Coturnix japonica: one gene and its partners. The protein of the gene in region 1 purifies or fractionates together with the protein of each later gene. This does not show direct contact. Links are inferred from orthologs where the notes say so. Each region holds a gene or a part of one and is shown in the gene's direction. Other genes may lie near its edges.

Region 1 (4,160 bases):
TTCCTTTTATCGCAGGCACAGAGTGACACAATGTAGGCACACTGATCTGTGCTCTTCACTGTGTCACAGCAGGGAGCAGCCGCTGCATTTCAAACTGAATTCTAGATATTTTCCCCCAAATGTTCTTTCTCATCCTGTCGCCAATGGTTATTCTATATTTGTTCCTACTGAACAAGAGCTCCATCACTTCGGTCTCCATTTCTCCTTTCCTCTCACTTACACAATACATCTAAAATCATCTAGACTATCAACCAAGACCACACTTAAGTCGTCTCTCACCAAGTTTTAACACCTCCTCCTCCTCATATGCTGAGAACTTGGCTTCCACAAACCAGCTCCTTACAGATGGTACTTACATTTACTGGCACCAATTGGTTACTCAGAAATATTAGTCACTGCAGACACACATTTTACAGAATATGGGAAATAGAAGCAAGTAGAATAAACAGGAACACACAGTGACACGCTGCCTTGGCTTTGTCCCAGCCTTTTTTTCTCGTAAGGGCAACTACTGGAGAGTTTGCACCACGTATTAGGTTCAAGTGCGATTATGATGTAGGCATCCTTAAGAAAGTATTAATGACTTTTTAATTGTAAAAATCATCCCCCAGTGTCATACGAGCAGCATTACAGTCTTATTTACAGCACACCGGCCAGGGCCCACAAACACCACGTTGGGTGCCACAACCTTCCCCTGCTTTTCTGTTTGATGTCGATAAATAAGTGCTGCTTCTGGGCCTCGTTCAGCCTCCCAGTGCCTCCCATACAAAACAAGCACACTCCTGCCCTTGGTAACTGCCTGAAAACAAGCGATAGACCCCGAATCTATCTTCTTACGACCAGCTCTCCACCTCACCCCACAGAGCAGCCCCTTCTTTCTCACCTTCCACGGGCACTGCAGACACTTCTCCAGCATTTTCTCCACTTCCTAACCGCTTTCACCACTCCAAAGGGAACCCGTCAGCTCTGAGCAGCACAAACCGGGGCTCTCCTTCTCCTCAGCTCCCACTCGGCACCAGCCCCTCAAGAACTCGCCCTCGGTTTCATCCCTGCTTCTTTCAGCTCGCCAACTTCTCCTCAGCTCCTTCCCACCTTCCCCTTATCTCTCTCCTACGTCTCAGAGCTGCTCCATCCTCGCTCCCTCACTCCCGTCCTTCCCTCAGAGCCGCTCTCATCCCGCTCCCGCCTTCCCCCAGCTCGTGCCCGTCCCTCAGTGCCGCTCTCATCTCGTGCTTTCACACCAGCTCGCGCCCATCCCCAGAACATCCCGCACTCCCCTTGCACGGCTCGTGCCCGCCCCTCGCTTCAGGCCCTGCCCCGTTCGGTTGCACCGCCCCTCGCTTCAGGCCCTGCCCCGTTCGGTTGCACCGCCCCTCGCGCCGCTCGCAGTCCGGCCTGGCGGTGCTCTGCTCCGCTTATCGCCGCAATGCTCCGCACGGAGAAAGTGCTGCAGCTGCGGAGCCAGCAGGGCCGCTCGGTGCGGGTGGTGAGGGAGCATTACCTCCGGAACGACGTGCTGTGCCGCAGCGCGCTGTGCCGGGCCGGCTGTGAGCGCGGTGAGACGGGAAGGGAAAGGCCGGGAGCTGGGCGGTGTGATCCGTGTTGGGCCAAAGGAGGGTGCGACCCTTCGGCCCAGCGGAGCCTGGAGGGTCGGGAGGGCTGAAAGGAACCGGTGGGAGCACAGCGGGGGGGTGGGCGGCACCGAGGAGCGGAGGTGTTAAATTCAAGACACCACCGTACGAAGTATTGAGGGAAAAAATGAAAGAGGAACCGAAGGGAGGTGATGGCTGATAAAGGATTTAGTTGTAAACAGCCCAGGGGTGGTTCTGAAAGGCCAAAGTGCGGCGGGAAACGCGCATTTCACGCCTTATTTCCCTCAAAGGTTGTCTAAAAGTGTTTATTTCTCCTTGGTGGTGATTATAGTGTGAAAGAAATCCGGTGTGTGGCTGTTCCAACCGGGCCCATGCGACATCGTGAAGCGGCTGTAATTGTGCATCAGCTGCGCTCTGTCAGCAGTTCCTGTCCCATAACGGAGCGCTCTGCTCCTGTTCTGCTCCCATTGCACACACGGGGCTTTGCTTTCTGTGACAGCTGTTGTGTACTCAGGTGCTGTTAAGTACATTGTGGATCAGCTTAAAAAGCACAGAATTTCAGTTCTTCCTCCTGAGCTGCAGCTGATGTCAGTGTTGTCACTTCAGTTCTCTGTGCCCATTGCATGGGAGGGCAGAAGGCAGCACAGCATCTTACTGCCAGCTGGATGTCAGGCTGAGTTCATCACTGCTCCCTTGTGCACAGAGACGTGCACAGCTTTTGGCTGTAAGTTACAGACACGTACCAAGATCTCAGCCCTCTGCCCATCACCAACTTCTCTTCTGGGCTTGAATGTAAATAGTGCTGTCGATGTGTGCCAGAATACACCCTTTGTAGTTATTCCAGGTAACTCAGAGGTAAGGTGAACATTAGTTTTCACTCCTGACTGCATGCTGTACTCAGCAAACTTTCCTCCTCTGCATAAATCACACCTAGAGATACTCTGATAACACACTGTGCCGACCTGCAAGTTATTCTGCTCTAATTGTATACAACTGCCCTGCCCTATGGTAACTACAGAAGTACCGGTTTTATTATATCATAATGGGTAAATCAGCAGATGCAGCAGAGTTAATGGCTACCCATCAAATCTTTAGCAATTGCTACAATTTGAGGTGATGTTTTAAGGTTTAATCAGTGCTGGGTTGGTTGTGATAATTTGATGGTGTACCCACAAGGGATGGAGTTTCTCTGGAGAAAATAGTCTAGATTTGGACCTTTCCTCTTTGAGAACGTCATCTTTTACCTGTTTCCTTTTATGTAAAGATGTAGGAGAAGAGCCTGCTCTAAATGGATAGTGTTGGATAGAGAGATTTGGGGAAGCACTACACCTATTGAATGGCTCCGTGAAAAGATTTTGTGGTCTTTCCATGTGGAAGTTGAGGGGAAGAAAAAGGAATGTTACATGCACTTACATGGCATCCCTTTCACAGTGATGTTAGATTTCTTTGCTCTAAATTCCTGGCACTTCAAGTTATTTGAGGAAGCAGTATCGCATCTAAAAGTTTCAATCTTTAATCTCTACCTTATATTTTAGATGGCAAGTTGTTATCGGACGATGTGACTCACTATGTTGTCCCAGACTGGAAGGTTGTTCAGGACTACCTTGAGATCCTTGAGTTTCCAGAGCTGAAAGGTATTATATTCATGCAAACAGCATGTCAAGCTGTGCAACACCAAAAAGGTCGCAGGTAATGATCCTATAACAACTTGTTTATTGTTTTACTACAGATTGAAGTAACTTACTGACTTTGTACAATATTTATTTCAGCAGTTACCCTGAATTAGAAAAATCCCATGCTTAAGTTATTTCTAGGTTTTTCAAAAGCATTAATTCTACAGGAGGTAAAGAAATGTGATCCTTGGTGATCCATAGGCATCAGTGCATGTAATAGTATCTGCTTGATAATGGCATCATTGAACATGTAACATCACTAATGAATTGGATGGCTTGTGACAGCAACAAAGGACACTTTGCAGTAACAATGTGGTTTATGCCACAACTAGATTTTGTGCACCTTTTTGTTCCTGCTGTACTGCAGACGGAGAGCTCATCTTTGAGGGTCAGTCAGTGCTATTACACAGCACTTACCTGAGCAGACCTATATATTGCCAAAGCATCTTCCCTCTGAAACAATAATACAATTTCCTACATGCTTATAATGTTTGAGGGGGGGTTTATCAGAAAACAAATGTGTTACAGAATATTTGTAATGCAACTAAAAAAACTTGCTTAGAGATGATTTTTTACATTTCCTCATCAATGGTGGAATTTAATAAATGCATTTCTTTGTGTGGGGCCATAGTGCTCCTTGAGTTTTTCAGCTGTATTACCAGATGAAAACAAACAGGCGTTATCAAAAGAAAGCACAAGTTGATATTTACCTTTTTTGTTTTCCAGACAGTACAACAAGTTGCGAAATCTAATAAAGGACACTCGTCATGACTGTACAGTGTTTGCCAATGAGTTCCACCAGAATTCTTACCAGCCAAGAGAGAAGGGAGAATCCATGGAGAAATGGCAGACCAGGTTTGCTTTAACATATACAGCACTGCACTGGGTAACATAA
Region 2 (4,284 bases), on another chromosome or scaffold:
CGCATCAGAAAAGCGCCCGTCATCGACCCCCCAATGCATCCCTGCAGGCTCATTCGCCTGCCCTACCCGTGCCCCATCCCGCTTCCTTGGCCCATCACATCCCCACCATGGTGCTGTGAGCCATGGAACGGCAGCAGCACGTTTCTGGATGGTCGCTGCCCACGTGCAAAGACTGGCATTGAGATGTGTGAGGAACTGGGAGCCCGTGGCAGAGCCGCTGCTCTGAGTTTGCATTGGGAGCATCAGCGTTTCCATAGGGTTTGGTGGGAAAGGGAGAATGGGAGGGCACGGCAGGACATCCCGTGTGGATTTTGCTGGTGTGTTCGGAGCTGCGGCTGCACCTGGATGAATCAAGGTTGGGTTTTATGGATCATTTGATAGGAAGGAAAATTGCTTTTGTCCTTTCTCCTCTGTGCCAGCGAGCGCCCAGCAAGGAGACGTGGCACAGCATCACTGGGACCATCAGCTTTGTCTGTTCAGCCGAGTTGGGTTTTCCTCCCTCTATCCCCAGCTGTGCCATGGGGTTTGTCTACATGCCACCAAGGGATGGGAGGCTGAGATGGGCTGTGAGACCCCCGAGGTCAGGCTGCCCGGGGCTCTGAGCACTGTGTGTGTAGGGAGTTGGACCAGGCGGCCTTTAGGAGGGGTTTGAGGGGGGTCCCTTCCAACTTGGACCATGCAATGACGGCCCAGCAGCTGCTCAGCCCCATCCAGCCCTAAGGGAGCGCTCAGCTCTGCTGCCCTCTGGGGACCGCACAGCCCGGAGCGGCTGTTCCCATTAACTTGGAAGGTTGTTGTGTTCATCCTAAATCCGAGGTGTATAAAAGCTCTCATAAAAATAAAAACACTGCGTTTTACTGCCAGAAAAGGGAAAAAAAGAAAAACCCAAGAAGGAAAATATATAATAACCCGTCACTTTAACTTTGTAAATATTTATGTAAAACATTATTTACAAGCCTTTGATATTCTATATTATGGGATTGTATACGCACAGCGCTGTAAATACATTTGTACCTCTCTCTTGTACTCGAAATAAAAAGCGATTCGGGACCGAGCGTGGTTTAAATTGGGGGGAGGGGGGGGCTGTGGGTCCAACCCCATTAATGGGTGCTGGGACCCATAGGGAGCACTCAGCCCCATAGGGATGGATGGGACCCATAGGGATGGATGGGACCCATAGGGATGTATGGGACCCATAGGGGGGCACTCAGCGCCATAGGGAAGGCTGGGACCCATAGGGGGGCACTCAGCCCCATAGGGATGGATGGGACCCATAGGGGAGCACTCAGCCCCATAGGGATGGCTGGGACCCATAGGGGAGCACTCAGCCCCATAGGGATGGATGAGACCCATAGGGGAGCACCCCCTGCCCCATTCACATCGCTGCCCCCCCCCAACCTCCCTGCCAGGAACCAAAATGGCCGCCCTGTACCCAACCCACGTGACTCTCGTTACGGCCCTCATTCAAGATGGCGTCCGGAAGTCACGTGTAACCGCAAGGCGCAGTTCCGCCTTCAACCAAGATGGCGGCGGTGTCCATGCGGCTGCCCGTGATCCGTAAAGCCGTGGGGCCCAGCCGGCCTCGGGGCGGCGAGAAACACCTGGTTGTACCCGGAGACACCATCACTACGGACACGGGATACATGAGGTGGGGATGGAGGAGCATTAGGGGACGGGGCAGGCCGCGGTTTGGGCTCTAATGGCGTCCGTTCTGTCTGCAGGGGACACGGCACCTATGTGGATGAGGAGAAGCTCGTCGCCTCGGTGGCTGGAGCTGTGGAGAGGGTGAATAAATTGGTGTGTGTGACACCGCTACAGAGCAGGTGAATATAGGGACGGGATGTGCAATGGGATGGGTAATAATGGTGTGTAATGTGTGTTAATGCTGTGTAATAATGCTGTGTAATGTGTGTTAATGCTGTGTAATAATGCTGTGTAATAATGGTGTGTAATAATGCTGTGTTAATGCTGTGTTAATGCTGTGCTCTGTCCCACCGCCAGGTACAACGGGGAGGTCGGAGACATCGTGGTCGGGAGGATCACGGAGGTGAGGAGCTGGGAGGACACGGGAGAACGTGATGAGGTCTGACAAAGAAAGAGTGAGATGCTGGAGCACAGAGAGCACTGTGCCATGCAGAGCTGCAGGAGGGCGTTGGTGGCAACCGTAGTGCCCATCCGGATCCATTGTAATGAGCTGCCGTCCAGTGCGCCCATAGGGGGAACAGGGACCCCACACTAAAGGGGGGGACACATAGGGATGGATGGGATCTATAGGGATGGATGGGATCTATAGGGGATGGATGGGACACATAGGGATGGATGGGACACATAGGGGAGTACTCAGCCACATAGGGATGGCTGGCGCCCATAGGGATGGCTGGGACCCATAGGGGAGCACTCAGCCCCATAGGGATGGCTGGGACCCATAGGGGAGCACTCAGCCCCATAGGGATGGCTGGGACCCATAGGGTTGGATGCATGCAGTGCAAGCTGTGGGACAGGGAGGTGGGCATGTCCTCGTGTGAGGCCCCATCTGTAGCACTGTGTCCTGGTGGGGCATCCTCGGTGCAGGATGGACATGGATCTGTTGGAGCACATCCACAGGATGACCGTAAAAGTGATCCGAGGGATGGAACAGCTCCCTGCGGGGACAGGCTGAGAGCTGGGGCTGTGCAGCATGGAGAGGAGATGGCGCTGGAGAGAGCTGAGAGCAGCCTGTCATTATCTAAAGTATCTTTCTGTAAGGAAGAAGGGGACTGACTTCTTAGCAGGGTCTGTTGTGATAGGACAAGGGGAAATGGTTTCAGTCTCAACAGGAGAGATTTACATTCAATATAAGGAGGATGTCTTTTACAATAAGGGCAATGAGGCGCTGGCACAAGTTACTCAGGGTGGTTGTGGTTGCCTCACCCCCACAGACATTCAGGATCAGAGCTGGACGGGGCTCTGTGCACCTGAGGGACCTGCAGGTGTCCCTGTTCATTACTGGGAGTTGTACCAGGTGGCTTTTAATGCTCTTTTCCAACTGAAATGATTCCTTCTCTGACAGCCTCTGCTGCACTGGCCGGTCATTTCTTATGGCTGTCACAGTGCTTTGCTATAGAGTCAGTCATCTGCATGACTTCCCACTTAGATTAGAGACTTAGTTCATTTTCTGAGTGTACATTAACGTTGTTTTTTCTTCACCAGGTTCAACAGAAACGATGGAAAGTGGAAACCAATTCCAGGCTGGATTCAGTCCTGTTGTTGTCGTCTATGAATTTACCTGGTGGGGAACTGGTGAGCACAGTTTGTGCAGAGAAGGACCACAGTGCTGCAGGGCAGGATGCTCTGAGCCCCTCCTGCAGTTAGCACACGTGTGGTTTTGACTTCCCATGCATTTTGCACAGTGTCCTAAGGAGATGATCCTCTCTTTGTGTTGCTGTTAATTAATGTTTTCTCATTCTACGTGACCCATAACTTTTCTTGCATTGTCCATTTTAGAGGAGGAGATCAGCAGAAGATGAGCTTGCAATGAGGGACTATCTGCAGGAAGGGGATCTCATCAGTGTATCCTTTCACTGCTTGTACTTGGACAGAAGAGTCAAAGGGATTGGAAGGGGGAACAGCCAGACCTCAGGCAGGCAGGGAAAGCTCTGTTGGTGGCTGTTGGTACAGGGCAGCATGAAGAAGTCTGTTTCCTTAAGAGGCACTGACAGGCAGAGGTCCAGTCTGTGTTTTCAGATGGGGCTGTATCACTGCACACCAGGAGTCTGAAATATGGGAAGGTATGTTGTTCAAAAGTCTCATTTTGTGCTGGTTGGATTGTATGAGTCTCTAACCCTTGTGCTTAGTGGTCTGTTAGAGGGTCAGATCTTGTTAAATACAGTGCAGTTCTATCCATGTCAGTAGAATTTCTTTGTATTTATATCGAGATAGCATCAGGATAGAGGTTTGGGGGGAGATCCTTAAGGAATAAAAGGCTCTGCAGTAGAGTATGATATTATAGCCCTTGTCAGTAGGTTAGGAAGAATTTTAGCTCCTACATGGGAGCTCAAAGCAGAGTTCCTCATTGCACACATTCCCTCTGAACTGCTGCTGTCCCTCTCCACAGTTACTGCATGAATCCATTTCTCCCACCAGTTGCTTGGGACTTGAGCTCTGGGAAGAAAAATCTTCTATCTCAAACTTTATCGCTCTTCTTCTGCAGGTCATTGTCCCCATGGCTTGCTGCTCACTCCAGGGCTCTATTTTAGGCTTTATGCAGTTGGCATTTATCTCTGTTTTTGCACATTGAAATAAGCC
Region 3 (3,500 bases), on another chromosome or scaffold:
GACCCCATCTCAGCCTTGATTCGTAATTATATTGACTATAAAAGCAAGTTTCTGTTTGGATGGCAGAGATCAGAGTTTGAAGCAGAATTCCAAGTGCTGACCAAGTCATCGAGGTCTCTGATAAAGTACTTGGAATGGTGTCCAACCCCTCCAGCTTCACTGCTGATCTGCTTAATAGCTATGGTCCTACTGAGTAGAGTCCTCTTAGAAAGTGGAAATTAGTATAATCTGTTCCAGTGCCTTCTTTTGAAGGTTCAGCCTCTCTAAAATCCCTTTTCACCCAAAGAATCTAAAAGAATAGGTATTTTATTTTAAGAATTAAAAATTCTGGCCAGGCTGTCTGAAGTGGACACGGTTGGGGGGAGGTTGGCATGGTGAAAAATGGTATTTCTGTGGTGGTCAGAATGTCATAGAAGGCTGTAAAGGGAAATAAGTGGGATTTAAACAGAAGTTCTGAGTAGTGCCTAAAGATTTAAAAATAGCATCAGAATGTCTCTGTCTTAAAACCCGGACACAGTAAAAATCAATCCTAAATATGTCAGATTTGGAGGGTTTTTCGGTCTCTGTTGGTGCTGAGAACAGTAGTTCATGCAGGAATGAGTTCTTGTGTAGTGCAGGGTGGCTTGACTTTAGCTGTTGCACTTGATATGTCACATCCACTAAAGTTTGAGCATTAGAATCTAGCAACTGTTCTCTAGAGCAGTAACTATCTTAGCACAGACTGTTTGGAACAAACACCAAGTAATTTTTGCAGGCACTTGTTGAATATTTCAGGTGGTCGCCTGCTGATAGAACCAGTGAAACATAGGCACCCAATCTCTGATTCTATTGCTGCTTTTTGGGTGTCCTAATAAACTCCCTTGTGACAAGAAAATAAAGAGGGGAAGATGTGTCTAGCTAGCTGTTGTAGAAAGGGAAGCCTGTTTTAGTCAGAGCTGTGGCTCTGAGCAGTTTGAGCATCCTCACTGTGTGGTTCATGTCATTGCAGGTGGAGCAGTTCTGGCGGTTTTACAGTCACATGGTACGTCCTGGGGACCTGACAGGCCATAGTGACTTCCATCTTTTCAAAGAGGGCATCAAACCCATGTGGGAGGTGAGTTGGAGCTCTCGTGTCTGCCTTGATGCTCCCCAGAGAATGATGGATGAAACCTTCTGTGGTGAAGAGAGTCTTGTCACTTAATGGCACTCTTGAGTTCAGCCTTTTCTTCTGAGCTTGCTGTAAACTTGTTCTCAAAACTCTGTTCCGTGTAACCTGGTGGCTCTGTGGTCTTCTGGCTGAGGAGAGGGCAGATGAAGGGAGTTGCTAGCTGTGCTTGCTGTGGGTCCAGAAGAGTCTTCTGGCTGGTGTTGCATGCAGCTCAGTAAAGGGTAGCCATGCTAAGCTCTGTGCTCACTACACAGCACAGCACTTTTACCCATTATTAGTGCTTTGTCCTATGGCAGCAGCATGGAGCTTTCCTCTAAAAGAAACAGAACCTCTCAATAAGGGAAGAAATAAGAGAATAAGAAGCAAGGAGATGCATGTGCTTAAAAGCCTACAGCTCTATGCAGAACAGAAAATGGAAAGAAGACTTAGCTCTTCATTCACTTTTTTTCCTTTACAAGGCACTTGATTTGCACGTGTTCATTTCTGTCCAAATCTGTATAAAGAAGGGAAAAAAAAATCTTTGCCCAACAAATCATTCTTCCAGCTCCTGGCTGGCTTCCAGCAATGACCAATACCATTTGCAATATGAGAATTTTATGTGTTGCTCTGCAGTACCTAATTATGCTGCTTGGTCCTGAGAAATTTATATGTGACCCTGGTTGGCAATTATTTTAAGCAAGGTGTTTTATAGCCAGTTACTGCAAATACAATTTATATAAAACGCTTAACCCTCCTTGGACTCCTAGTCAGCTTAGCTGCTCTGATAATGTGTCCACCAGAGAGTCCACAAGTTAATGATAGCAGAATTTCTATAAAGAATTTCCCTGTAGCCATTTTAGGATGAAGATGGAGAGGCTCTTTGTCTTTTATTTCTGGTCACGTTGCCTTCTTGTATTTGTAGAAGACTTACCCTTGTAGCTTCCCTTCTCTTTGCTACCCTTTTTAGGGCTTTATGTTCCTTCCTCTTTGAAAGTAAGCTTAATTACTGTAATTTTTGTAAGCATGTATACATATATGTGGTTCTGATCTTTTTCAGAATCCATCTGTGCCTTTTCTGGGTAAAGTCAGTAGCAGTAAGCATAATGTTCCCTTGTGATTTTCTGGGCTGCAGATCATTATTATTCTGGTAAATGGAAATGAAATGCTTGACTGAACCAAAGCTTGTTTAACCTGAAAGAAAACTAACAGTAACCATAAAACACACAATACAGCATCTGCTTCCCAATGACCATTCTCTTTCTAGCCTTGAACCTTCCTGAACAATGTTTAAGTTGTTTTGAGCTATACCAATTTATTTTCTTACCTCTGTAAGTCAGTGTGGAATGTTCGAGGAGTGAAACCCAACTTAGGCTGAATTCTTAATTCTCAGAGTGGGATGTCCACAACTTGGAAAACAAGGATGCTTAATCAAAAAGCATTTTTGCATTTCATGGGAATATGCGGCATTCCTAGAACTTCTGCTGATTTAGATTCTTCACCTTGCATGTGGCTGCTCTCATGCGTTGGAGGTTTGTCCAGAGCTCACACCTTCCCCTTTCACTATGGACTCTTAACATGTAGATGGGATCTGGTGACTGCTGCTCCTCTGCTGGCATTTTCCTTTTTGCTCAGTATTGTTTCGTTGGCATTTGCTGTCTCTGAGAGTGCACAAGTACTTAGTTTTTCTAAGCCCTAAAGAAGCTTTATAGTTAAAATAAAGTTTATTTTGTCCTGTTAAGAAGGATTGGGCTGCCTTGCCTTGCATCTTTGAAGTGTAACTTAGGTTGGCAAAGGGGATTGCTAATTGTTTGGCCAGGGATGTTCTGTGTAATACAGATCACTACGAGCTCTTTTTCCTTCTCTGTTTTTGTCCTAGACCTCTGTTCATTCCCTTCCTAACTGCCACCTCCCCTTAGACTTGTTCTTACTTCTCAGTTGTTGTCTTTGGATGGAATCCATTCCCTTTTGTAGGAGTTTCCAGCTACAAGGGAATGCCACAGTGAGAATTCTGCACAAAGGAAGAACTGCTGTTTGATGTGGTTGTGTGTTTGTGAAGCAGGGCAGTCTGTAGCAGTTTTCAGTTCAACATACAGGATTGCAACTTTGAGGTGACAGGTTGGGTGCTTAGCGTAAATTTTTCCTTTCCTTTCTTCCAATTTTTGTGTATTTCCTTGGGTCAGCACAGTTCGTCTGTATCTGTGATAATGACAGTGGCTTCCAGAGAACAGGCTGGCCCTTCTGGGTTAACTTGTTATGTGAGCTCGTTCCTGGAAATGCTGAAGAAAAACATTTCAACTTTCCCTTTACTTTTGAACATGATTTTGCAAACTGTTTCCATGCCTTCCATGTTCTGTGATAAGGGATTTTTCCTCTT
Region 4 (3,525 bases), on another chromosome or scaffold:
TGGGCAGATGCTGGGTGTGGGCAGATGCTGGGTGTGGGCAGATGCTGGGTGTGGGCAGATGCTGGATGTGGGCAGATGCTGGATGTGGGCAGATGCTGGGTGTGGGCAGGCCAGGTGTCAGGCTGCACGGCGGGGCAGGGCTCCTTCACCCTGCGCAGGATGCGGAGCAGAAGCGGGTGGCGCTGAGCCCAAAGGGATGCTGCGCTCCCGAGCTCTGTGTGCGGAGGGGGGACACGGGGCTGTCAGGCTCCGCGCCTGACCTCGGGTGCTCCCTGCTCCCATCTCGTCTTTCCCACAGGGGAGGGGGTTGGGGAGCGACACGGAGAGTCTGACTCAGAGGAAACTGGAGACGGTGAGGGCACATGGGGCGAAGAGCTCATTCCAGGGCAGGGAACGCTCCAAACCCACGGGGATCCCCTCAGCAGCCTTTGCTAATGGATTCGGGAGTGAGGGAGCCCGCACAAAACACGTGCCCTGTTCCTCACACCCAGCAGCACCTGGACGGCTCTTCCTTTTGCCTCAGCCCCGGACCAAGCTGCAGAGCCCATCGCACACCGACCCCAGCAGCTCCCCGGACAGTGCCACGCTGCGCTGTGCCAGGCCGAGCTGCGGGCACTCGGACAGCAGAGGGACGCACCGAGCCCTCGTCCTCCCGCTGAGCCTCTTATCCCACCCGAGGGCCGCGATGGGAGCGAGGAGGAACCCGAGCCGGGCCCGAAATGAGGCAAACGATCCGCCGGGTCAGGGCCCCCGGGCCATCAATATTAACGGCACGGCCGGCCCGGGATGCGGCCAAGGCACGAACCGAGCGCTCCGCTCGGCACCGCGCCAGGCAGCGGCACGGCCCAGCGCCAACACACGGCCCGGGAACACAGAGCGAGCGGCCGGCACACGGCGGGACCGGCACAACCGGCACAACCGGCACACGGCGGGACCGGGACACAGCGGTACCGGCACGGCCGCACGGCGGGTGATGAGCTCCCGCTCCCGGTGACCCCGTGCTGGGCTCAGGGCTGCCCTCGGCCGTGCCAGCCGGTCACGCCGCCCCAAGGCCGCGGGCCCGCCCCGCTCCGTGCCCCGCTCCCCGCCCCGCCGCACCCATCCCGTTCCCGTTCCCGTTCCCGCTCGCACCTGCCGCCCGCTCCCCGCCGCCCGCCGCCATGCCCGGTTCCCGCCGCCCTCACGGCACCGGGCAGCGCCCGCCGCCCCGCGCCTGCGCACTGAGCACAGCGGGCAGGGCCGGCACGAGGCGCCGCACTACGACTCCCAGCGGGCCGCGCGACACCGCCGCTCCCTGAGGTTAAAAGAGAACCAATAGGTATGCCGCTTACATCGCGGCCCCGTCGCTGAGAGCCAATAGGAGGAGGGTTCTTTGCGGGCTCACGCGCGACGCTGAACATGGCGCCACCAGCTCGGTACTGCGTGCCCGGTAAGTGCGGGGCGGGCGGCGGGGGGGGACGGGCCGGTAAGTGCGGGACCGGTGCTGAGCGAGCGACCCGCAGGAGAACGGCTGTGCGGAGCGGACGGAAACGCGGCGGGGAGCGGCACCTACGTGCGGAACGGCAACATCTTCGCTGCGCTGAGCGGATGCGTGCGGCGCTGCGAGCGGGACGGGGCGGTGAGAGCACGGCGGGGAACGGGAAACGGGGCGGGACCGGGCTGAGACCGGGTGTGTGTGTGTGTCTATGTGTGTGTGTGTGTGTCTGTGTGTGTGTCTGTGTGTCTATCCATCTGTCTGTGCCCCGCAGCTGCCCGTGGTGTCGGTGGTGCGGGATGCAGAGGCGCAGCTGCTGCCCGACGTGGGCTCCGTGGTGACGTGTAAGGTGGGTGCCGCTGTCCCCACGTGTCCCCGCGGCCGGGGCCGTGTGCTCGGCTCACGGAGCTCCGGACGGACGGCGGCGGACACTCAAGGAGCCGCCCGGCCCGGCCCGGCCCACGCTGCGCGGGCGCTGAGTGCCCGCCGCCCGTTGGTGCAGGTGTGCAGCATCAACTCCCGGTTTGCCAAAGTGAACATCCTGTACGTTGGCTCCACGCCGCTGAAATCCACCTTCCGTGGCACCATACGGTAGGGAAAGGGCAGGGGGCACACTGCGCGGTGCCTGCCTGCTGCGAGGACAGCTGCGTGGATGCATCTAGCGAGGCCTGGCTGCCGTCCAGGGAGGCCGGGGCAGCTCCTCCTGGCTCTCTCTGGTATCACATTCCTGTGTCTGCTTTTCTAGGAGGGAAGACATTCGAGCTACTGAAAAGGATAAGGTCAGCGGGGCACTGCTGGGTACAGTGCTGTTACAGCTTCCCCCTGTCCAGCTCCCCTCGTGCTGCTGCCCATGGGGTGCCTATCGAGCAGTACCTGCGCTCTCCATGCACTCCTGTCCACTCCCTCCCACGTAGGTAGAAGTCTACAAGAGTTTCCGCCCCGGTGACATAGTCCTGGCCAAAGTCGTATCCTTTCCCATCGCAGTGGGAGGGCCCACGGGCCTGGAGGGTTTGTGCTGGGCTATAGAGGCAGGGAGTCTTTCCCTTAACACAAACCTAACCAGATCTCGCTGGGGGATGCACAGTCCAACTACCTGCTGAGCACGGCAGAGAACGAGCTGGGTGTGGTGGTGGCACGCAGCGACGCAGGTAGGAATCCTCATCTCCATGTGAGGAACAGCCAGTGCAGCATGGGGAGCAAACACCCTCCTTTCCTCCCACTGCTGAGCCTCAGGGGCTGCACGAGGAGGCTTTGGGCTGCTGGGGCTGGGCAGTGTGACAAAGCAGGAAGGGATCTGCTAACTGAGGATGCCTGCAGGGGTGCAGATGGTGCCTATCAGCTGGTGTGAGATGCAGTGCCCACAGACGCACACCAAGGACTTCCGTAAGGTGGCCCGTGTGCAGCCTCAGTTCCTGCAGACATAGCAGCCTCCTCAGGGGTACAGGGACCCCAGGAAAGAGAGCTGCTATGGTGGGGTCCAGCATCTTCCATACAGCAGGATGGGTTTTGTATTTGTGCTGTAAGTAATAAATAAACGTGGTTTTTTTGAGAGCTCTGTGTTCTGCTCAGTCACTGCCCGCAGGGGTTGCTCTGGCTGCCTGTAGCCCTTCTGCTCTGGAGCTGCTGGAGGGGGCTGTTTCTCCCATCAGTGTGGGAGTGAGAAAGTCTGTTCCTGTCCTGGGGAGCAGCGAGGCTTTGAGGCTTAGTGGTACATAGCACCATCTATGGCTGCTGTGCTCATCCCCAGGATGGCTTATCACCTCAGGCCATACATGCCCTTTGTTAGGCAGAGGTGTGGCACAGCCCAGAGCCCATAAAGCACTGCAGTGAATCACTCTTTGCAGCGAGGATTGCAGAACTGTGCTTTGCTGTGCAGTCTGAGCACCTTCTGCACCCACAAGTCAGCAGCAACTTGCGCATCACAGACACGTGGTGGTGCAGGAAATGCGGTGCTAGGCAAAGTGGGAGCTCCACGTGGCGCAGTGGCACAAGGAAACGCTGACATTTAATTATTGCATATTCATCTTTTATTGAACTGGAACAAGACAACT
Region 5 (4,166 bases), on another chromosome or scaffold:
TAAGAGAGATGATTAACAATATTTCTTTATCTTGACTAAGCTTTGGCTTAAACCTCTGGATCTTTCTGCTGCTCCTGCATGTTCTCTTCTTTATTCTGCTGTTCCATCTTCTCACGTTCTTGTTCCTATTGTAAAGAGAAGACAGCTGAAGATAGCGTATATGCTTTTGATACTCAGTTCCTCGTGCTCTTTAGTAGTTAATATTTATATCTCCTATACTTTGGATTAGGCTCTTTGAAGCTTTGCACAGCATCTATTATAGACAGACTAATCCATATAGATTCTATGGGAGGAAAAAATAGCTAAGATAGTTAACTGCAGAAGACAGTCTACTTATCCTAATCTAATTTTCTAACATATCTTTAGTTAGTTTCTCTTTAGCTTAGTCTCTTCATTTTTGGTAACATCTTGTCATGTAGCAGGTAAGTTTTTCTCCCCAGCTGCTCAGCTGTCCTTTCTAATTCCTTTCGAAATAATGATATTTTCAAAACGCAATGTTTAAGCACTTTTTGTTATCTTTTCCCTTTCAAGATCAGAATACAATTGTAGGTACTTTCCAACATTCTGATTCTCTTATGATTCTATGTTGATAATGACTACTATTGTAGTGAGAGCTACAAGTTGACCCAGCATCACACGCTACTATAATTATGAACAACTATTAACCTGCCGTTGTTCTTCAAGTTTCTGTTGTATCAGTAGCTCTTCTTCCTTCATTTTTCTTAACATTTCAAGTTCTTCCAGGGCTGCCTGCCGTTCTTTTTCCAGTTTGGCCCTTTCCAACGTTCTCTATTTCAGAGGTAACAAGAAATCAATGAAAAAAAAAGGAAACAAAACACAAAGAGAGATTATACAGCATCAGTTAGATTGACATGAAATGCTTTGCCCGAGGTAGACCCACCTTCTTTTCTTCTTCTAGTGTTTTCTTGTAGTTGTAGATCCAGTGTGCCAGGTACTCTATTGGGTCAGCGGGCCGACGCTCCACAACCTCCGCCAGACCCTTTTTCAAGCAGCTTCCCAGACATCTCCTCAGGTATTGAGACTCCATTCTCACCTACTGACAAACCGACAGATATTAGTCACCGATATCGGAATTCAGACAGCAGTTAGAGGAAGTGTTGACTGCATCACATCCCCAGTGTGATGTTGGTGGTTTTATCAAAGCTCATTTCATCAGGCAATTAATATGAGAAGGTGGTAGCGGTGCTGTCCCCCGTTCCCTACCGCTTCGCTCCTACCGGCCCGATCGCACAGCGCGTCCAACCGCGTTACCGGGCAACCGCGCTCCCGGCTGGATCCTGCGTCAGGCGGCCGGGCGGTGTCGCTGTCGTTGCGCTCTCGGCCCTTCCATCGCCGCCGCCATTTTGCGTCTGCTTCCGCCGGAAGGGCCGCACGCGATGGCGGGTGGGGGCGGCGTGCCGGCGGAGACCCGTGTGGGACAAGTGGTGCTGCCCGGCGATGTGCTGCTGCTGCCCGAGCACGGAGAGCCCGACCTCGACAAGCTGCCGCTGGGCACCAGCGCGGCCCCGCGGGGGAGGCTGCTGTGCGGGCCGGGGCTGCGGCGCTGTGCGGGCGGGCTGCTGGTCACCAAGTGCGGGCTGCTGCGGCACCGGCAGGCGGGCGGCGGAGCGGCGGCGGGCGGCGCCTACTGGGTGGACTCGCAGCAGAAGCGGGTACGGCGGCAGCGGGCGGCGGGGGGCGGTGATGTGCGGGACGAGCCCGCTGATCGCTTGTACCCGCTTGTAGTACGTGCCGGTGAAGGGAGACCACGTTATCGGCATCGTGACGGGCAAGGTGGGGGACGTGTTCCGGCTGGACGTCGGTGGTAGCGAGCAGGCCTCGCTGTCATACCTGGCCTTCGAGGGCGCGACCAAGAGGAACAGGCCCAACGTGCAGGTAACGCTGCCCGCCGGGAGCTTGCCTTTGTAAACGGTGTTTTTACCACTCGGACCATATAAACGAGGAACGTGACTTTTTTCACAGAGCTTTTGTCATGGCCTGTACGGGGTGTCCCGATGAGGCCGTGAGTTTTTTCTGTTTTCTCCGGAGCTTTTTGTGCTTCTTCACTTCTGACCTTACACCTTTCCCATCGGTTAACAGTGGCAGGTGCTACTCGTGCAGTAACGTGGGTCCCAAGGGGCCACCCTGAGGCTTTAAAGCATCCTCTGAACGCTGGTGCTGGTAGAGGAGGGTTTGCTTTGTAGCATTTACAAGTTGTTTTGTGATATGTGCGTTCACCAGAAACACTGTCAGCATGGTGTAAAATGGGCTGTGATTTTAAATGGAATAGACTGGTATGGCTTCTGGTGCGCCTTCTGAGTAAAGAATTGTTTCCTAACATGTAACCTTTATCTCCCCTCTGTTAATTCAAAGCCATTCCCCCTTGTCCTGTCACTACTAGGCTATATAAAAAGTCACTCCCTATAAGCACTGGAAGGCTTCGATGGGGTCTATCCAGAGCCTTTTCCAGGCTCAACAAGCCTAACTCTCTCAACTTTTCTTCACACAAGAGGCGCTCCGGCCCTCTTCTGACCCATTCCAATGGTCTTGTGTCAGGGGCCACAGGCTTGGACAGAGTACCCCAGGTGGGGCCTCACAATGGCAGAATAAAGGGGTCAGTTACCTCATTCACCCTTCTAGCTATCTTTCTTTGGATCCAGCCTGGGATCCCATTGGCCTTCTGAGCTGCAAGTGTACGCTGCTGGTTCTTGTCCAAGTGTTCATCCAGTTTACAACTGTTTTGTTGTCTCTTTATGGACTGAATGTTTCTTACAAATGTGCATTGTTATCTTCTCTAATGATTCTTTTTTTTTGTTGTTTTCTGGCACTGCTTGCTTTAGGTGGGAGACCTTGTTTATGGTCAGTTCCTTGTAGCAAATAAAGACATGGAACCAGAGATGGTCTGTATAGACAGCAGTGGAAGAGCAAGTGGAATGGGAGTAATTGGACAAGACGGCTTCCTCTTTAAAGTTTCCTTAGGTCTGATAAGAAAGTAAGTACTAAGAAAACCAGTTGTACTAAAGTGTTGGGGTTGTTAAACTTAGCATGTGTCTAAACAACACACAGTCATTAGCTCCTCTCCCTCCAGACCCTGTCCTGCTTTTCCCTATAGGCTTGGGAATAGAATCGATTAAAAAACAGACACAAAGTAGAATTCATGGGTTGAGATAAAACTGTTTACAAAGAGAAAAGAAAACAAGATACTACTTAAGAGAAATACATATATGTGAATGTATATAGGAAGTTACCCACTGACTGATGCCCAGCTAGGCCCCAAGCAGCAGGAGAGAGAGAAAAAAGGACTCATGTCCCATTCAAAACTTTCCTTTTGCGTAATGTTATATGGTATGGAATATCCCTTTGGCCACTTAAAGTCAGCTGTCTTATTTCTATCCCTTCCCAGCTGCTTGGGTGCCCTGCCCTGTGCTTCCGAGATCCTTGTTAGTTCCCCATCCCCCAGTTGGTAGGATGGTAAGAGAGAGTGGGGAAAAATGAAGTATGCTTGGCTCTGTACAGCAGTGTTCAGCAACAGCTGGAAATACAGGTGTATTATCATTGTTTTTCTCCTAAAACCAGAACAGCATCTTAGCAGGCACTGAAGGAGAGACAATTGTGTGCAGCTGAAACTGGAAGAGTAACATTTTGTTTTTAGGTAGGATATGCACAGCTGTCTCCAATTCAAGTAGTGTGAACTAGCCAGTAACTGCTATGTGGCTGTTGTGCTGCATTTATGCCAGTTTTACTGGGGAAAGGATGCATGTACATTGAACTAGAAACAGTGTGTGACTATCATAAAATACCAGCTGATAGTGATAAGAGATGGTCAGACTAGTTGTTGCTTTGATGTTGAGGGAGGAGAGGTGAGCATCTGTTCTTGGAGATAACAAGTAGCTATGTCATACCTGGGTTTAGTAAGTAATTTGGTTTATGTGTCTTATCAGTGTGAACAGCTAAGTTGTTTTTCAGCCTTGTTCTTGGTAACTCTTCTGCCTAATTAGGAAAACAGCTACAGTGCACAGGTGCTCTCTTTAGGTGCATGTGTTTTGGGAGGAGAACTTCAATTCTGATATGGCTGGATATGCAATTTGAATCGTCTTAACTTTTGGAGTTGCTTTTGTAACTCCAGTGCTACTGTTTAGCTGCTGGCTGATAATGTTGTAATACTT
Region 6 (4,151 bases), on another chromosome or scaffold:
CTACTGAGCAACCCCTTACTGCAAAAATCCCACTGTCCATATAGTCTGCAAGAATAGTACAACTTATTAGCTAATGTGGATGACTTGTTGAGCAATGCATCCATTTCCAGATTTCAATTCTTTTTCACTGGTAGACAATATAATGTTTTTTGTAAGAGTATTAGAGAGATGGTAAGCATTATCTTCCCTTGCAAATGCAGCAGTTATAACAAAACAGTGCTAGTGAACGAGATCCAAGTAGAACTGATTAATTTATCCTTCCCAAGATAAGCAGCATGCTGAATCAATAACAGTGACAGCTAAGATACCCAAGGAAGCCCTGATACTTCCTGCTAAATATCTGAACTGCTGCATTAGTCATGCACAGAATGTCCATTTAAGCATGAAATTCAGCTCTCTCTCTTCTTGCACAGAAGCTACGAGAATTAAACTGCACTGAAAAATGCTTAAGCTTAATTGCTTGCCTGCTGTGGTCGACCTCAATGCAAACGCTGCAGGTCCAGTTTTCACACCTGGAGCACAAATACCAGTGATTCCAAATACAGTTGGCAGTAAGTCATTGTACTTTCCAACCCTCTCCTCCCCTCCCCCCAAAAAAGAGAAAAATAGAAAAAAGGAAAAGGGAGGTGGTGGGGAAAAATAAACAAACCAAAAAAACAAAGGGACAAGGGGGAATGGTTTTAAACTGAGACGGGAGGTTTAGGTTAGATATTAGGAGGAAGTTTTTCACACAGAGGGTGGTGACGCACTGGAACAGGTTGCCCAAGGAGGTTGTAGATGCCCCATCCCTGCAGGCATTCAAGGCCAGGCTGGATGTGGCTCTGGGCAGCCTGGTCTGCTGGTTGGTGACCCTGCACATAGCAGGGGGTTGAAATTCGATGATCACTGCGGTCCTTTTCAACCCAGGCCACTCTATGATTCAGTGAAAAGGTGGAAAGAAATAGCAAGATAAGTTGATTTAATGTGGGCTGGTTCAATAACAGTGAAGATTTCTCATTGAAGAGAAGTGTTTACTTCTACTGTCAGGCAAAATGACATTGAAAGGCTCTACAGAGGGATCTGGATAGGCTGAATCAGTGGGCTGAGACCAACTGTATGAGCTTCAACAAGACCAAGTCCTGAGTTTCAGGAAGGGAGGTCACGGTGAGGTGAAGTCGGCCTCTTCTGGGTCACAGTGACAGGACAAGAAGGAATGCCGTCAAGTTGCACCAAGGGAGGTGTAGGCTGGGTATTAGGGAAGAAGGAATTCCTCTCACAAAGAGCACTAGGCGCCTGCACCGAAGAATCGCGTCCGCCCACCGCCAGGGGGCCCCATTCAGCAGCTCCGCCGGCCGCGCTCTGTGGTGAGGCGGCTGGAGCGGCCGCCGCGTGTTGATGACGTCCCGCAGCCGAGCTCACGCCGTCCGTTTGTGGGGTCTGCCATGAAGGAGACGCCGCTGTCCAACTGCGAGCGGCGCTTCCTGCTGCGCGCCATCCAGGAGAGGAAGGTGCGGTGCCGGACCGGCCTCCCCGTACCCTGCCCCGTACCCTGCCCCGGGCCCTTGTCGCCTCAGCTGCGGGGCGGCGCGGCCCGGCGTGGTGCGCTGACCGCCCCGTGTGTGTGTGTGTGTGTGTGTCTGTCCCCGCAGCGGCTGGACGGGCGGCAGTGCTACGACTACCGCAATGTGCGCATCTCCTTCGGGCCCGAGCGCGGCTGCTGCGTGGTGGAGCTGGGCAAGACCAGGTAGGAGCGGCCGGGGGTCTCCGGGCTGGGACACACACAGCTCTATGCGCATTCACCGCCCTCAGGGTGAAGGAAAGGAAACTTGAGCTGAACAACGAGAAATGTGTTAGAAAACATCCACATGGGTCTTTGTTTTTTCTTTATATGTTTTGTTTCCATCGTTAGGTATTTTCTTGCTAAGCTTTCTGACCTAGCTGCTTATTTCCTTCTGCAGGGTCCTTGGGCAAGTCTCATGTGAACTCGTTCCCCCGAAGCCAAACCGGGCTACAGAAGGGATTCTGTTCTGTAACCTGGAGCTCTCACCCATGGCTGCACCTGGCTTTGAGCCTGGCAGGTACGTCGCTTTCTTAAGAAGTCCAGGCAAGGATAATGGTGCAAGTGGTAGAAGTGCCGCTCTGCTACACAGAGGCTCGAATCCCAGGGGTTGGACTTGATGATCTCTAAGGTCCCTTCCAACCCGCACGAGACTGATACTGTGATAATGTATGAACCACTGCTTGGACACGCACAAGTATGTACCATAATGATGTTGAATTTGGGTTGATTTTGTTTGAACAGGCAATCCGAGTTACTGGTCAAAGTGAACAGACTGATAGAACGATGCCTGAGGAATTCCAAGTGTATAGATACAGAATCCCTCTGCGTTGTTGCTGGTGAAAAGGTAGGAGAAAACTACCAGTCTCAAACCATTGCATAGAATCACTGAGCTTGGAGAAGACCTCCAAGATAATCCACTCCAACCATCCACATAGCACCAATATTTCCCCACTTAAGCCACGTCCCTTAGTTATACATCTAAATATTTCTCGAATTCAATCACATATAAACATGTTTAATGATTTTAAACATAAAAGTCACTTTTTCAGGTGCTCTGTCTTGTTTTGAATACTGGTCTTTTTTCATCCTAACTCTTAAATCAAATACTCGAGGAATGTAAGCTGCTCTTTTTTGTGATTCAAAAACTGGAAGTGTCTTGGAAAAGCAGGAGCTTCTGTGGAATTATGTTACACATTGCCAGTTATACATGTTTTCCCTCAGGTCTGGCAAATCCGTGTGGATCTGCACCTGTTAAATCACGATGGTAACATTATAGATGCTGCCAGCATAGCAGGAATCGTGGCCCTATGCCATTTTCGCAGACCAGATGTTTCTGTGCAAGGAAAAGAAATAACGGTGGTAAGTCATACCAGGTTTACCTCCATAAGTCGTAAATGGGAAGTATTATACAAGGAGAACCAAAAGAGATTTTTTATTAATATTTAGTTGACTAGACTTTTTTTCTTTGCTTTCTGTTTCTTTACATTGCTCTTGCACAATGTAAGTAACCAATAACCAATTCTTTTCTCAGTACTCTCCTGAGGAACGTGATCCTGTGCCCCTGAGCATCCACCACATGCCTATTTGTGTCAGTTTTGCCTTCTTCCAGCAGGGGTAAGAATTCTTCTTAAAGCTCTTGACAGAAACAGCTTATTGTCAGTTGTGCAAAATTATTGTTACAGCACTGTGAAAATACTCTTGTTGACAGACAGCTTTCTTAACACGTTCATACGTGTTCTCCACAGTGTGATAGTAGCCAGCAGCTTGCACAGATAGGAAGAAAACTGTTACAAGGGAGTCAAAGTCAACCTCAAACTTCTGTTGTCTTATGTTAAAAACTTGGTTCTAGGACGTATTTGTTGGTGGATCCAAATGAACGAGAGGAACGTGTGATGGATGGTCTCCTTGTAATTGCCATGAATAAACATCAGGAAATTTGTACCATCCAGTCTAGTGGAGGGATTATGCTATTAAAGGATCAGGTAAAAGTCAAGGAAAACATTTAAGGATCTGTTCTGTGGTTCTATTTTAAGTCATGTTTTCATGATTCTAAACTGTTACCGTGTATGTAACGTACAGGTTCTGAGATGCAGTAAAATAACAGCTGTGAAGGTTGCGGAAATAACAGAATTAATTCAGAAAGCTTTGGAGAACGACCAGAAAGTGAGGTGAGTTTTTGGGGAAGGAATGGAAAGTACTTTGAAGAACTGATTGAAAAGTTAATGCCAGTTTATAATGAAACAGCAGGTTGTTTCTGTTTGTAATCATTTCAAGTATTACAAGTATGGAAATGCTTGCTATATTCATATATGTGAAATATCCTGAAATAACGTCTGTTGTTGGATGACTAGGAAAGAAGGTGGGAAGTTCGGCTTTGCAGAATCGATATCAAATCAGAAGATCACTGCCTTCAAAATGGACAGTGCTGCTGTAGATACCAACAATGTGGAAGAACAAGCAGAAGAAATCATAACTAAAGCTGACCCTCCTTCAGAAGTGTATGTTTTCTATTCGTTATTCCAGGGGGGAGTTTTCCTCTTATCTGCACTGGCCCTTCTAGAAGCTAGTAAGACACTCAAGCTATCAGATGGCTCCGGGTGGCCCTATAGCC
Region 7 (4,217 bases), on another chromosome or scaffold:
CGCAGCCCATGTCACGGCCCGCTCTGGAAGGCGCTCCCGGCCGCATCCCCCTTTACCTCACCCCACCCCACCCGTAGCCCCGCGGTCCCGTGGCTCTGCCCCGCCACCTACCCGCAGGCCGCCGCCCGCCGCCACCTCCCATCCGCCCCGCCGGAGCGGGCGCCCCGCGCGCGGCACTGGGCCCGGCGGAGCGCGGTTCCCCCCCCCTCCCCAAGCGCCGTCCCCTTACGCGATCCCGGCGAGGAGGTGGGGCGGCAACGGAGGAACCAGGAAGTGGCGGCTGGCGGCCGGCGGCCCCGCCCCGGGCCTCGGCACCGCAAAGCCGGGCAGCAGCAGCCGGCACCTGCGGATTTAGCGGCCGCTGCCTGCGCTGCTTGCAGCTTCACCGGGCAGCGTGAGCCCCTGCGTGCCGGGCGGCTCCATCACGGTCTTTTTCCACTTCCAGCTGGCTAAAATGAGGCAGAAGGCATCGCTTTGTCCTTGTTATAAACGACACCGCATCCTGTGAGCAGCGAGGAGCTGCTGGCTGCGCTTCCAGTCTGGGATGGATGGCAGACATGGAGGAAGGAATGAAGGAAGGAAAGCTGCCCCTCCTTGTGTCTGAGCGCTGTGGGTGCAGCTGGGAGCCAGGCAGCACCAGCGCCATAACCTCACAGAATGACCCGGGTTGGAAGGAACCTCAAGGATCATGTAGTTCCAACCCCCCTGCCTGGCAGGGCCACCAAACATACACATTTACTAGATCAGGTTGCCCAGGGCCCCATCCAACCTGGTCTTGAACACCTCCAAGGACGGGGCATCCACAACCTCCCTGGGCAGCCTGTTCCAGGGCCTAACCACTCTCCTGGTGAAGAACTTCCCCCTAACATCCCAAACCTCACTGTGCCCTTAGTGGGCACCACTCAGCGCACCAACCAACATACAGGAGAGCCGTGCTGAGCGTATGGCACCTACAACGTGAGCTAATGGAAGCTGCCACAATAAACACCCCTCAATTACAACGCAGTGTCAAACTGGAGCCTTTAATCGCATTCCCACACCACCAGCACGATGTCTCGGGTAAAACTCCGCATTTCTCCGCGGTCTGACAGCCAGGAGAACCTCAGCTTCATACTCGGGTACCCTCATAGTCTCATAGTCTCGTGTGGGTTGGAAGGGACCTTAGAGATCATCGAGTCCAACCCCCGGGATTCGAGCCTCTCTGTAGCAGAGCGGCACTTGTACCACTTGTGCCACAGGGGGGATTCGAACTCCGGGCCCCAGTGTTGCAAGGCGGCGTTCCTACCACTGCGCCACCGGGGCACACAACCCTCAGGTTACTTTTACCTCAGCTAAGGGCACACACACACACAGGGCCGACCCCACCGCCCTGTACAAGGCGCTGAGGCGACCGGCGCCATTTCCCGCCTGCGGAAGTGCGGCGGTGCGCAGGCGCAGAGCTCGCCTCCTTCCGAGAAGCGGAAGCGGAAGTGCTCTGCAGCGCGCGGGGTGTCATGGCGTCCGTAGTGCTGAGCGACGCGGAGAAGATGTACATCATACACGGCGTCCAGGTAGGGAATAGTTGCTTGTCATCTTTGGTGATGTATTCGGCACGGGAAGCTTGAAAAGCACAGGTTCCTTATGTTCGCGATTACGTTGGTTGTCGTGTTTAGGAGGACCTCCGTGTGGATGGCCGTGGCTGTGAAGATTACAGGTGTGCAGAAGTAGAGACAGATGTGGTGTCCAACACGAGTGGATCTGCGAGAGTGAAGCTGGTAGGTGAACGGCTCAGGAGTCGTCTACATTGCTGATAAAACTGGCTTGTTTCGCTTGGCTTATGATAAATAATTGCTGCTTGTAAATACGTCCATGTGTGTCTCCTCATATGTGTCTAATATGTTGCTCCAAAAACAGCCCCTCCTATTTTATGATGTTGGCCCACAGTATCATAAGCAGATGTTGGTGGTGTGGTAGTAGAGGTTGAACCTTCCCAACAATATTTCATTCTATTGTGTTGCCCTGTGACTGATGACAGCAGATGTGCAGTCTGACAGAATGGTGTCTGACTTGGAAATGCAAAGATGTGGTATTGAATTATGTCGTGTTGAAACGATTGTCCCTGTTGGCATTCATTGTCGCATGCTGAATGCTGATGGAGACCCAACAGCGAACGTGAGCACAGTGAAGCGGGGCCCTGGGCAACCTGATCTAGTGAAGGCGTATGTTTGGTGGCCCTGCTAGGCAGGGGGGTTGGAACTACATGATCCTTGAGGTCCCTTTCAACCCAGGTAATTCTGTGATTCTGTGTGGTGGTGCATTTCACCTTGTGAAATACAAGGCATGTTCTAGATGACCATGCACGGCTGTCATACGATGAAATGAACTGTCTTGATCAGCTCATTTGTGCAAATCAGCAGATTATGACCAGGGAACTGTGTACAGAGCTGAATATCAGCTTCATTGCATTAGAAATGATGGTGACAATGTTGGAATATCAGAAAATGCATGCCAGGTGGCTCCCATAAGTGTTCACAGAGGAGCAGAAAGAATACTGTATATCACACAGTATCACAGTCTGGTGTGGGTTGGAAGGGACCTTAGAGATCATCGAGTCCAACCCCTGGGATTCGAGCCTCCTGTGTAGCAGAGCGGCACTTCTACCACTTGCACGACAGGGGGGATTCAAAGTTATAAGTTTGTCAGGATCTCTTGAACCAATACAAGGCTGAAGGCAACAGTTTCCAGGATCACATCAGTAGTGATGATGAGATGTGGTGTCACCACTACGCACCGGTGAGAAAACGCAGTCCATGGAGTGGTGACATGTGATTCCCTATTGAAGAAAAAGTTCAAGAGATAGCCTTCAGCAGGCAAAGTATTGTGAACTGTCTCTTGGGATAGGAAAGAAGTGATCCTTTTGGATTTCCTGAAACCCAGACAAACCATCAGCTCTGACTGCTACATCATGACACTGACTAAGCTGAAGGCTTGAGCTTCCAGAGTCAGGCAGAGAAGAAGACACCTTTTCTCTTGCAATGCGATAACACCAAGTCCCATACCAGTTTCAGGACCCTGGAGCACGTTGCCAAATTTGTCTGGACTGTCCTACAGCACCCACTGTGTAGTGTGGATTTGGTGCCTTCTGTCTTCCACCTCTTTGGGCTTGATGGAAAATAGACTGCTCAGGCAATGCTTTCCTAGCAGTGGTGCAGTCATAGCTATGAAACAGTGGGTTACCTCTGCTGGTGCAGATTTTTATGAGTGCAGCATGCAGTCTCTTGTTCATCAGTGGTGAAAATGCAGAGTGATGGTGACTATGTTAATAAGGTTTTGTTGCTGAGAATCTGTTCAATCAAATAATGTTATTTTGCTCTTTGCACCTCTTATATTTTCTGTGGAAATAAATAGAAGACGTTACTTTCAGAGCGACCTATGCATGTATGTATGTGCTTAGCTCTAATTGACATGATAGGTTGAGGAAATAATGACAAGATATATGAATAATTCAAGTTAGCTTAATGCATTTGAGCTAAATTTATAGTGGAGTGCCTGAAAGGCCTTCAGTCTGAACTAATCTGCTATTGGGTGTTAGATGCTGTTGTGCCTGTCACTGGAAAAAATAATTCTGCTCCTTTACAGTGAAGCAAAACTACTTCTGGCATGTGTTGACTGTAAAGAAAACAATTATTTTTTGGCGGTATTATAAACATTCTGCAGAAATAACTGATCCAGAACTGCAATGATAAAAAGGTATGGCTATTAAGATTGTCTTATATACACAAAGAAAGCTGATATGTGGGCACAGAATTGTTCTCCTAAAGCCTTTCTGTTCTGCAATTCTCTAGTAGAGCAATTAGCAAAGACAACAGAATAGATGGTAGTGTCTGCATGCTGTAGGCATCTCAACTGAGTGTATTTTGCCCATAGTTCTAACTGTGTGATGTATTTTTGTTTTAACAGGGACACACTGATATCTTGGTTGGTGTAAAAGCTGAAATGGGGACACCGAAGTTAGAGAAACCAGATGAAGGTTATCTGGAATTCTTTGTTGACTGGTTAGTATAGTAGAAGAAAAGGTAATGGAGCAGTATGCATATACACTTTGCTTCTCACATTTGAAATAAAAAACCTAATCAGATCTGAAATGTGAACCTTCACTGCCCTAACCTGCTTAGTGTCTGAGTAACAGCAGCAGTTTATTTTACTGTCTTAGCTGTGCTGAATGTTCAGAAACATCA

What was found.
Region 2: the proteins of DIS3L (region 1) and EXOSC2 purify together in Homo sapiens (affinity purification with mass spectrometry; 5 studies listed by BioGRID and IntAct, with this or other methods). This does not show direct contact. The link is inferred for Coturnix japonica from reciprocal best matches to the Homo sapiens genes DIS3L and EXOSC2.
Region 3: the proteins of DIS3L (region 1) and EIF4E2 purify together in Homo sapiens (affinity purification with mass spectrometry; 3 studies listed by BioGRID and IntAct, with this or other methods). This does not show direct contact. The link is inferred for Coturnix japonica from reciprocal best matches to the Homo sapiens genes DIS3L and EIF4E2.
Region 4: the proteins of DIS3L (region 1) and EXOSC1 purify together in Homo sapiens (affinity purification with mass spectrometry; 4 studies listed by BioGRID and IntAct, counting the BioPlex papers as one, with this or other methods). This does not show direct contact. The link is inferred for Coturnix japonica from reciprocal best matches to the Homo sapiens genes DIS3L and EXOSC1.
Region 5: the proteins of DIS3L (region 1) and EXOSC3 purify together in Homo sapiens (affinity purification with mass spectrometry; 6 studies listed by BioGRID and IntAct, counting the BioPlex papers as one, with this or other methods). This does not show direct contact. The link is inferred for Coturnix japonica from reciprocal best matches to the Homo sapiens genes DIS3L and EXOSC3.
Region 6: the proteins of DIS3L (region 1) and EXOSC9 purify together in Homo sapiens (affinity purification with mass spectrometry; 3 studies listed by BioGRID and IntAct, with this or other methods). This does not show direct contact. The link is inferred for Coturnix japonica from reciprocal best matches to the Homo sapiens genes DIS3L and EXOSC9.
Region 7: the proteins of DIS3L (region 1) and EXOSC7 purify together in Homo sapiens (affinity purification with mass spectrometry; 3 studies listed by BioGRID and IntAct, counting the BioPlex papers as one, with this or other methods). This does not show direct contact. The link is inferred for Coturnix japonica from reciprocal best matches to the Homo sapiens genes DIS3L and EXOSC7.

The regions. Positions count from the first base shown.
Region 1 is NC_029525.1:16,720,453-16,724,612, forward strand, and holds the start of DIS3L (DIS3-like exonuclease 1), read left to right. Parts: upstream 1-1,360; 5' UTR 1,361-1,426; coding exon 1,427-1,556; intron 1,557-3,127; coding exon 3,128-3,281; intron 3,282-3,991; coding exon 3,992-4,120; intron 4,121-4,160. UniProt on the Homo sapiens protein: Catalytic component of the RNA exosome complex which has 3'->5' exoribonuclease activity and participates in a multitude of cellular RNA processing and degradation events.
Region 2 is NC_029532.1:4,558,014-4,562,297, forward strand, and holds the start of EXOSC2 (exosome complex component RRP4), read left to right. Parts: upstream 1-1,484; 5' UTR 1,485-1,523; coding exon 1,524-1,648; intron 1,649-1,721; coding exon 1,722-1,823; intron 1,824-2,001; coding exon 2,002-2,047; intron 2,048-3,189; coding exon 3,190-3,279; intron 3,280-3,483; coding exon 3,484-3,549; intron 3,550-3,698; coding exon 3,699-3,767; intron 3,768-4,284. Other genes in the region: PRDM12 (PR domain zinc finger protein 12), read left to right, coding at 1-119. UniProt on the Homo sapiens protein: Non-catalytic component of the RNA exosome complex which has 3'->5' exoribonuclease activity and participates in a multitude of cellular RNA processing and degradation events.
Region 3 is NC_029524.1:13,648,256-13,651,755, reverse strand, and holds part of EIF4E2 (eukaryotic translation initiation factor 4E type 2), read left to right. Parts: intron 1-988; coding exon 989-1,093; intron 1,094-3,500. UniProt on the Homo sapiens protein: Recognizes and binds the 7-methylguanosine-containing mRNA cap during an early step in the initiation. Acts as a repressor of translation initiation.
Region 4 is NC_029521.1:19,502,293-19,505,817, forward strand, and holds EXOSC1 (exosome complex component CSL4), read left to right. Parts: upstream 1-1,398; coding exon 1,399-1,429; intron 1,430-1,502; coding exon 1,503-1,618; intron 1,619-1,748; coding exon 1,749-1,823; intron 1,824-1,976; coding exon 1,977-2,065; intron 2,066-2,219; coding exon 2,220-2,253; intron 2,254-2,388; coding exon 2,389-2,439; intron 2,440-2,537; coding exon 2,538-2,622; intron 2,623-2,791; coding exon 2,792-2,898; 3' UTR 2,899-3,025; downstream 3,026-3,525. Other genes in the region: palmitoyltransferase ZDHHC16, read right to left, coding at 1,132-1,400. UniProt on the Homo sapiens protein: Non-catalytic component of the RNA exosome complex which has 3'->5' exoribonuclease activity and participates in a multitude of cellular RNA processing and degradation events.
Region 5 is NC_029521.1:3,509,690-3,513,855, reverse strand, and holds the start of EXOSC3 (exosome complex component RRP40), read left to right. Parts: upstream 1-1,366; 5' UTR 1,367-1,397; coding exon 1,398-1,673; intron 1,674-1,746; coding exon 1,747-1,896; intron 1,897-2,840; coding exon 2,841-2,992; intron 2,993-4,166. Other genes in the region: DYDC1 (DPY30 domain-containing protein 1), read right to left, coding at 54-125, 667-789, 902-1,048. UniProt on the Homo sapiens protein: Non-catalytic component of the RNA exosome complex which has 3'->5' exoribonuclease activity and participates in a multitude of cellular RNA processing and degradation events.
Region 6 is NC_029519.1:48,282,512-48,286,662, reverse strand, and holds the start of EXOSC9 (exosome complex component RRP45), read left to right. Parts: upstream 1-1,351; 5' UTR 1,352-1,421; coding exon 1,422-1,487; intron 1,488-1,628; coding exon 1,629-1,723; intron 1,724-1,937; coding exon 1,938-2,057; intron 2,058-2,281; coding exon 2,282-2,384; intron 2,385-2,761; coding exon 2,762-2,899; intron 2,900-3,071; coding exon 3,072-3,154; intron 3,155-3,389; coding exon 3,390-3,522; intron 3,523-3,619; coding exon 3,620-3,708; intron 3,709-3,891; coding exon 3,892-4,038; intron 4,039-4,151. UniProt on the Homo sapiens protein: Non-catalytic component of the RNA exosome complex which has 3'->5' exoribonuclease activity and participates in a multitude of cellular RNA processing and degradation events.
Region 7 is NC_029517.1:39,619,642-39,623,858, reverse strand, and holds the start of EXOSC7 (exosome complex component RRP42), read left to right. Parts: upstream 1-1,417; 5' UTR 1,418-1,493; coding exon 1,494-1,550; intron 1,551-1,652; coding exon 1,653-1,754; intron 1,755-3,939; coding exon 3,940-4,034; intron 4,035-4,217. UniProt on the Homo sapiens protein: Non-catalytic component of the RNA exosome complex which has 3'->5' exoribonuclease activity and participates in a multitude of cellular RNA processing and degradation events.